Kluyveromyces lactis: one gene and its partner. The protein of the gene in region 2 interacts with the protein of the main gene of each other region in a biochemical or structural test. Links are inferred from orthologs where the notes say so. Each region holds a gene or a part of one and is shown on either strand. Other genes may lie near its edges.

The links.
Region 1: the proteins of SUI3 (region 2) and SUI2 form a complex in vitro, tested with the Saccharomyces cerevisiae proteins (3 studies listed by BioGRID). The link is inferred for Kluyveromyces lactis from reciprocal best matches to the Saccharomyces cerevisiae genes SUI3 and SUI2.

What each region holds. Positions count from the first base shown.
Region 1 is NC_006037.1:1,018,925-1,023,617, reverse strand, and holds SUI2 (translation initiation factor eIF2 subunit alpha), read right to left. Parts: upstream 2,093-4,693; coding exon 1,184-2,092; downstream 1-1,183. Other genes in the region: MHO1 (Mho1p), read right to left, coding at 1-555; KLLA0_A11792g (uncharacterized protein), read right to left, coding at 2,523-4,693. UniProt on the Saccharomyces cerevisiae protein: eIF-2 functions in the early steps of protein synthesis by forming a ternary complex with GTP and initiator tRNA. This complex binds to a 40S ribosomal subunit, followed by mRNA binding to form a 43S pre-initiation complex.
Region 2 is NC_006040.1:749,497-753,770, forward strand, and holds SUI3 (translation initiation factor eIF2 subunit beta), read left to right. Parts: upstream 1-2,446; coding exon 2,447-3,283; downstream 3,284-4,274. Other genes in the region: RTP1 (Rtp1p), read right to left, coding at 1-1,055; YAR1 (Yar1p), read left to right, coding at 1,332-1,952; ADD37 (Add37p), read right to left, coding at 3,700-4,227. UniProt on the Saccharomyces cerevisiae protein: Component of the eIF2 complex that functions in the early steps of protein synthesis by forming a ternary complex with GTP and initiator tRNA.

The sequences.
Region 1 (4,693 bases), on a different chromosome or scaffold from region 2:
CAAGATGAAAAGAGTCTCCTCATCATCTACATACTTTTGTAGCAGTTTCCCCAACTCGAAGTCAACCTTTGTTGAATTGTGCGATACTAGCAACGGTAAAATCTTTATATTGGTAGGATCCACACCCCTTAGTTTTGCTGCTGCCCATAACATCGGAAACTGCATTTCAAGCGAATGTTCGTCCATATCAACTTCTTTACTCATCAAGACAACTTTCCCACCAACCAACAACTCATTTCTTAGTCCACCATCAACTTTAAAGTCTCCAAATGGTGTGTTAACCTCATCAAATGAGGTAACTTGAATCTTGTTCTTAAAGTAAATGTGATGTGATGGACCCATTATGATACACCTCTTGACATTAGTAAAGTCTAGTTTGGAATATCCTAATGCCATCGTATCCCCACAGTACTTATAGCCAGCATGCGGAGAGATCAAATGCTTAGTCCCAGGAACCGCTTCGTCTCTTGACAATAGTTGTTGCAACGTAGTTATCAAAGCAGGAGAAGAAGAATACCATGATCCGGCATGAGTAGCTGGTCTTACTGAACTCATCTTATTGCGACTTATATCTGTCTATGTGTTTCCCTTTTTTTCTTATTATTTTCCTGGCCTAGCGATGAAATACCATACAGGATCCCAACTAGGCTGTGAATAAATGCAAATTACGTTGACGTTCGAATTAGTTTATTATACACGTTTAAATGAAATACCCGATGTGCTAATGTTACTACATAGAAGTTTCGTTTCGTTGTACTTTAAAGACTTTTCACTCTTTTTTCAAAATAAGGATTTATGGAGCTTCCCTTTATTATTATAAGAAGAAACTAGAAAAAAGGAAAATGGGAGTTTCCTAATGTAAAAATCCTTTAAAACGTCCAGTCGTAATCGAATGGAAAGGCTGACAGTAATTGGCAGATACCACCTGTTCAAATGCTAGAGTAGTTCTCTGCACAGTCAAGTGGAAACATAGGTTTATTACCTGAACATCTGTTAGAAAATGGCCTTTTGTTTTTGTTTCATCTTCATCAGTAAATATAATGCAATGTTAAGTGAAGTAAGAAATGGAGAGAGGACATGCAAAGACTTATAGGTATCGAAACGCTGTATACACGTATAACAACAGGAAGCAGTAGAAGTATATCTTTTTAATTCCTTTTTTTTTGGTTTCACTTTAAACCATCTATTCGTAATCGGAGTCTTCATCTTCGGAATCTGATCTACCTTCTAATTCCTTGGATTCTAATAGTGCTTGTAATTCAGCATCTTCAGTGGCGGTGACAGCCTTTGGAGCCATTGTGACATTACAGACACCATTGTACTTTAGAATGACTTCTTCGATCTTTGCGATAGCAGTTTCCAATAGTTGAACACCTTGATCTTTGTCCAAAGATTGGGTGGTGATGACGTACAATGGGGCAGCCACCAATTTGACTTTGATTTGCATTTGTTCAGTGGACAACTCTTCAGCAGATTTTAGGGCTTCTTTGATAGCATCAATACCCTCGTAACTGAAACATGAAACCTCGACATCTGCTCTGATCTTGACCGCTTGTGGGGTCAATCTTCTGGTGATTTGGCCCTTCAATTCTTGGAAAATTTCGTCGCTGATAGATTCAATACCATCCCAAACGTTAGGGTCCACAATGGACATCTTGTAGGCATCGTAAGCATGACCGTACTTTCGACTTAAAGGCCATGCATAAGCTTTGTACAAATCTTCCAATGATACTTGGTATTTCTCAGCACATTGTCTCAAGATGGAATGTACGGCCTTGGACTTTTGGTATCTTTCTTCACATTTGATGACATCTTCTGCAGAAACACGACGCTTAGACAAATCAATATAACCCTTCTCCTTATCCACTCTTAATACAACGACAACTTCATTCTTACCAACACGAATCAACTTTTGGATAGATCTAATACGTCTTCTTGACAATTCAGATAACAAAACCATACCTTCAATGTTGTCATATTCCAATAATCTAACGTAAGCACCCATTTCAGCGATTTGTTGGACGTTTACCATCACAACATCATCAACTTCAGGGAACTTGTTCTCGTAAAACCTACAATTGGAAGTGGACATCCTGCTCTGTATATCTAATGGCTCTGATGATAAATTCTTGTGTAATTTTTCAATTGGAAGATATACCACAAACTCAAAGAAAGTATACTCTGTTTGTAATCGTTATCTATCGCAAGATACAGATAAATTAAATTCCTCGGTATCAGAGACTGCTCGCGTAAGTTCGAAGCTTAATTGGAAACCTTTGTATACCGATATTGAAATTGCTTTGTTGCTTCAATATTGTATATGCTTTCCAATGATCAATCTTTTCAATTTTTTGATACTTCGCATCACAGTTTCGAAAAATTTTTAGATCTGCTCGTTAAGAGTGATGTACTACACGTGACCTAACTATTATAATTAAGTTTCATTACTTACTACTAATGGCCCTCAGGTATTAAGCTGCAGAGATACTAACTACCAGTAACCCATACTAGATGCGATCGTGCTAAGAAGCGCCAGAAGATTGATTTTTTAGCCTCGTTTTGATTGTTTTGATGTGTGCGAATCTGCGAGACCATGTAGAACAGTGTTCTGACGATACGGACTCGTGCCAAATTTGTGCGAATGTGTTTGCGACAGTACATAAATGCCTGACATACGCTGCGAGGCGCTGCCTATGCATGATTTTGAAGTGGGATGTAGAGAATATACCAGGAACTTCTTTTGCTCTGTAAATCTTCACCTTATAGAATTCACTCACAGAGTCTTTTTCATCTTTGCCGTTCCACATTGGTTTGATGACAAGGTTTATGAAATTGAATTGACTTTTGATTATGTCAAACGGGAACGAGTCCTGTTTTCGTTCATCGTAATATATGTTGATAAAGTTATTACCAACGTGTCTTTTTTTCATTGTTCGATCTGGATCTGCTTTGTCGTCGTTAGGCATTAGGGATACAGTATGGAACACGATTTGACATTTTTGATCATGCCAGATCAACGCGTACTCTCCATCTGTACCAGGATTCAAACCGCCGATGTAAAAAGTTTCATTTTGATCAAGTTTTATTATTGATCCGAGTTCGTTAACAAACCATTTGTATTGATGGGATCCATCCTCCATAGAGTGTGACAATATATCCTTTTCAGTTGTGTCATTGGGTCCCATGTATAGCAATCCAATCTTGTGAAATTCGACCACTGGGATAGTATCAACAAGCTGAATAGACTTTATCAAGTGGGGTTCTTCGATCCGAACCATGTCTTCGTACGTATCTTCTGCACTAAATTGTGCAAGAACATACCCTGGCGTGAACATATTTGCAGAGGCGGGTTTGGTGTTTTTACCAAATTGGAATAAATCAAAACTGTCAGGTTCCTTCTTTACTATGGGATCCACATTGAAGATGGAATTTCCGGATGCACCTCTAGTGACAACTAATGATGCTCCGGTTGTAGTGTTTACTTCTATGCTTAAGATTTTACCATCTCGATACCAGTATTCATGTAAATAATGCGGATCTCCACTGTTGGGAGTATCTGAAGTAACTGTCTCCACTCTTAATTCTAAATCTGTAGTAGTAAATCTAGTAACAAGGTCCTTATAAGCTTCAGTATCGTCACAACGTTTTAATGTTGATAATTTTACCATCAAAAAAGGTGCTATCAATGGTCGTTTGGATAATGAAATTCTGATGAACCAATGTGATATGATCTGATACGATAGTGTCAGATAAAAATGTGCCATTTGTTTGGTGACAGTAAAACTACTGGTAGATGGATTGAAAGATGCTTCCTGTTCATCTGTAAATGAGTGTCGCACAAAATCCGCTTCTTCAGCCTCCTCTTTCAAATCATGCGATACTTCGATCAATTTGAATGCAATGGTAAACACACGCTTCAATTGATCAATTGTTAATGGAGAAATAATCTGTGGGGAATCTGATAAGGCAATTAAAAATTCAAGTAAACAGGGTATAGCTTGCTTTTTCGTTAATCTTATCGAGATTGTCTCTAAAAGTGGATTCAAATGTTTCTTAATGGAAGAAGGGATTTCGTAACATGAAACACTAAAATTATGCAATAAGGGGACAATTGTCTTCTCAAATGATGATTCTAAAACACCTAATGAAATCTTAATCATTTCATCAGCCTTGCTCTTTCCCAAAAACCCATAATATGGAAACAATGAGGATAGTGTCCTTACAAAAGCAAGTTGAACGTCACTTTTATTGATCCCAACACCCATCTTTATTGGGCATCCATCCTTTAATTGATGTAAAATAAGGTCATGTAATATTTCAATATTGTGTCTATCATTTTTGAAAAGATGATAATTAGCCAACTGCGGACATAAATGAGAAAGTAGATACGTGTACAATTCCCAGTCAAGAGGTTTTCGTAATGTCTCGATTAAGAGTTCAGTCCACTCTGAAATATCGATATAAGCGAGGCAGTCTGCGTCAAACTTTTTACCAAGTGTACCTTTATCAATATAGGAGGTTGTTTCATCTTCTGGATATTTCCATAAGTAAGAGCCGTCAATTCCTTCTGGTTTAATTACAGTGTTTCGATTTAAAGTTGCGGTTAACCCATCTATGTCAGTTTCTTCGCAAAAATAGAATAAACTATCTGCGTCAATCCTCATTTTCATGAGGATACGTGCGAGAACTAGCA
Region 2 (4,274 bases):
ATCATATCGTTGAGCTCTTTCACTGATATATCTTTTGAATCCAGGTTGTATAATATCCCGTAAATTTTACTGAAAAGGAAATCTTTGACAATACGTTTATTCTTTAGGTAAAAAGCGGTTACTAACCCATTCAAGCAACTTACCAATATTGGTTTATCGATATGAGTTAAACCTTCATATATTTGTACGAATAATTTGTCGAAGTACTCCACACTGGATATTGACCTTGGTTTTGATGTTACAATTTGATTAACTCTTTCGAACTTTGAGGTATCAACTTGAACATCCTCTCTTAGACCAATCACAAAATCTATTAAAGAAATCAAACCATCACTCCGTTCTATTACAAGTAAACTTAATCTATTAAGAGGCCAAGCCTTAGCTTTGTCGTTTTTTATCGTTGAAAGAAGTAATGAATATATCTCGAATAAGGAATACGTATCCTTGATGGTTTCCATTTTTCTTAATTTTTCTTCAAAAGCAGCATTTCCCGTGGTACACATTAAAGCCATATACCCAATCATTGTATCGGAATATCCGGGTCCGCCTTTCAAAATTATCTTTCTAACATAATTGTTTTCTGGAGTGTGTAAAAATATCGATTCAAAAGCCAATAGGGCAACCTTCAATGTCTCAACATCTGCGATCTTTCCATTTGGAACTTTGTACAGTTTATTTTCTTCTTTGAATACATCAAGTCTCCTTTGTTCTATGGGTATCCCAATATCAATTGGTAGATTTGCAGTGATCCCATGAATTACCAATAAATTGATTAGGGTATCAAAATCCTTCATATCATGTAATGAGATCGGTATTATGTCCGCATTTTCTTGTTGTTTTTCTGCGACTAGACTACATAATCTAGTCAAGAACTTCGCTAATTTTTCTATAAGTTCCTTGTTGCTTAAGTTTAATGATTCGTAGATATCACCAATATCGTCATTATGTTTTATAGGTTTAAGGAATTCATCTAACTCTTGAAAGAATGCATCAATTGGAGTATCGCTTACGAAATCAAGCTTCCTAGATAATACTTCTGTCAATTTATTTGACATTTTGTGAAACCGATGTCAGGTCTTGAAGGCGCAGCTGACACTCTCCCGATGTAGGCGTGATCATGTTGTTCTAAAGAGAGGTGCTCAGAGATGTCCTGAATTATATTTAAAGCCTTTAGCACATCTATTTCGGAGAAAAAGAAAAAGTAACCTTTTAACATGAAAAATTGAAAAGTTCACAGAATTTGGATTATGAGATGAGATGAGCTAAGATATGAACAGAGAACAGGAAAACTACGCAATCAAGCCCAAAATACAGAACGAAATTATTGTAAGATGAGTCTACATACAGGACCTTTAGATCAAGAAGATCAAGAAGCTATCATCGTTGATGCAAGAGCTGGAGATTTGGAGTCTCTTAAGGATATTTTTACCACTTTGATAGATCCAAGTGCACTCATTGAATGTACAGATGAATTGTCTAAGTCATCTGCCTTGCATATGGCAGCCGCCAACGGTCATTTCGAGGTGGTAAAATATCTACTAAGCATTTTCCCAAAGGATAAACTAAAGGAATGGGTCAACAAGCAAAACGAAACAGGTAACACTGCATTGCACTGGGCTTCGTTGAATGGTAAATTGGATATAGTACAGCTTCTTTGTGAAGAGTATGAGGCTGATCCATTCATCAGGAATAATTTCGACCATGATGCCATCTACGAAGCTGAAAACAACGGACAAGAAGAGATAGAAACATATTACTTGAAGAAGTTCGACGTGGAACCCGAATCGACCGAAAATGAGGAAGAAACTTCATCGGAAAAGGAAGGAGAACAAGCCTCACAGCCCGCATCTATCGACAACGTCCAATTTAGAGAAGGTACAGAGATTGAACAAGTGACCAAAGAAGCTACAGAAGCTCTAAGAGAGCAAACTGAAAAGCTTCAACTAGAATAAGTTTCCTCTGAAAATGAACCGTGGTCAAAAAAAAATCATTCGGCTGGAAAGCTGTATTGTGGCCAATTTGAGCATAAAATATGAACCAAATGTCCATGTACATAACTGTATACTAATCATCAATAAACATAGGTACACCTACCTCATGCGCCCAACAAGCGGAGTTTTATCTAACCAGACTCAAAGGCCAAAGAATAGATAAGTCACGTGTGTTACCCGAACACTGAACGTGCACAATGACAACACTATCGCGTGGCCTGGGAAAATTTTGAAAATAGTGAGTTTTCGGAAAACCAAGAGAATTGAAACGACTGGATCGCAATTGTCATCGCTATTCAATATCCTATTGGATTCTTCAGCTCATATTTGCACAAGGGTAAGACAACTTCTGTGGAAATCTGTTGGCAAGAGTCTAGTTCGTGTAAAGTTCAAGGCCCTTTCCGTTATTACTAAGGAGATTAGCAAGAAGCGAGAAGATACAAAGATACTCAACGATGACTGATGTTGCGGCCGACTTAGGATTCGATCCAACGATGAAGAAGAAGAAGAGCAAGAAGGTAGTTCCGGAAGAACTGATTGCTGCTTCCACCGAGGGAACAGATGATCTTTTTGCTGGTTTGAAGAAGAAGAAGAAGAAGAGCAAGGAAGGTGAAGAAACCACTGAGAAGCAAGTGGACGACATTTCAGATGCTCTAGGCGAATTGAAGTTGAAGAAAAAGAAGAAGAAGGCTGCTGCTGCCGAGAGCAGTGTGGATGACTTTGAGAAGCAATTAGAACAAGCAGGTATTTCAGTCGATGATATTGCCAAGGAGGCCACTCCAACTGAAATCGATTCTAGCATTCAACAAGATGTTGGCCTACCATACCAAGACCTATTGTCTCGTTTCTTTAAGATTTTGAACACAAATAATCCTGAATTGGCCGGTGATAGATCAGGTCCAAAGTTCAAGATCCCTCCACCAATCTGTCAAAGAGATGGTAAGAAGACTATATTTGCGAACATCCAAGAAATTAGTGAAAAATTACAAAGATCCCCAGAACATGTAATCCAGTATCTATTTGCGGAATTGGGTACCTCAGGTTCTGTTGACGGTCAAAAGAGATTGGTCATCAAGGGTAAGTTCTTGCCAAAGCAAATGGAAAATCTATTAAGAAGGTATATTCTGGAATATGTCACCTGTAAGACTTGTAAGAGTATCAATACCGTATTGAAGAAGGAACAATCGAACAGATTGTTCTTCTTGGTTTGTAAGAGTTGCGGTTCTACTAGATCCGTTTCCTCCATCAAGACCGGTTTCCAAGCCACCGTCGGTAAGAGAAAGAGAATGTAGATTAATTGATATGACGTATCAAAATAGTAGTATCATTAACATCTACCGAAAAATCAGAAAAAACTTCGACAATCTTCTAATGTTCAATACGATACAGTTCGAAAGGAATCAAATAAACCTCATAAGGCATAGCTAATATATTCATGGTTGAATATTTTCTCCAGGGAGCATCGCATCGTGCAATTCACACATAACATATGAATAACACCAAATACTTGAAAAGAAATGAGAATAGAAGGTATCTTCATCCTTCTTTCACGTTCATTATTAATTTTTTTTCTGTTTGTGTATGTTATCTAATGGTTTTTATCTAATCTGTAATTTAGTTGTTATAAACAAAACGACGAGATCAATGCTCTAAAAGATCAATTTAAATTTAAGCTCTATAATCTGAAACCCTTCCCCCAGTTAAAATATCATATCTGTGCATTTTCGATCAATTTACGGAAAGAAGGACACCACGAATTCACCGACATATCCGACAGCATCCATTTTGTAATTAAATCTGTAACCCGTTTTGAATCGTTCAAGTTGGCGAATATTTCACTCAACGCATATCTTGTGCCCTCGTTTTCCAATACATTTTCTAGAACCTTATCCACCTTAGTTTTATAAAAGGAAAATTCCTTATCTTGTAAGTTACTCGGTAACGATGTGATCCATTGATATTTATCAGACAATTCCTGTTTGCTCAACGCTACGATGGAAGTGTCGAGACTTTCTGTACTTCTTAGTTTTTCACTAACTTTACGCTTCATACTTGGAGGTGGTACTGTTGCCATCCTTGTATTCCCTGAGGTGTCCACACTTTGGGACACAATTCTCTTTGGTGCTATACTGGCAGCGCCCGGATAAATGAAACTAGGACAATCATTGTACCCTGGAATTTCTGTCTCCCTACAGTTCTGGAAACTCCTAGTTCGATTCATTCCGGATGACTCCATTGTGTTAAGTCGTGGTACTACAGCAATCCTTTCTCAAAACAACAGAT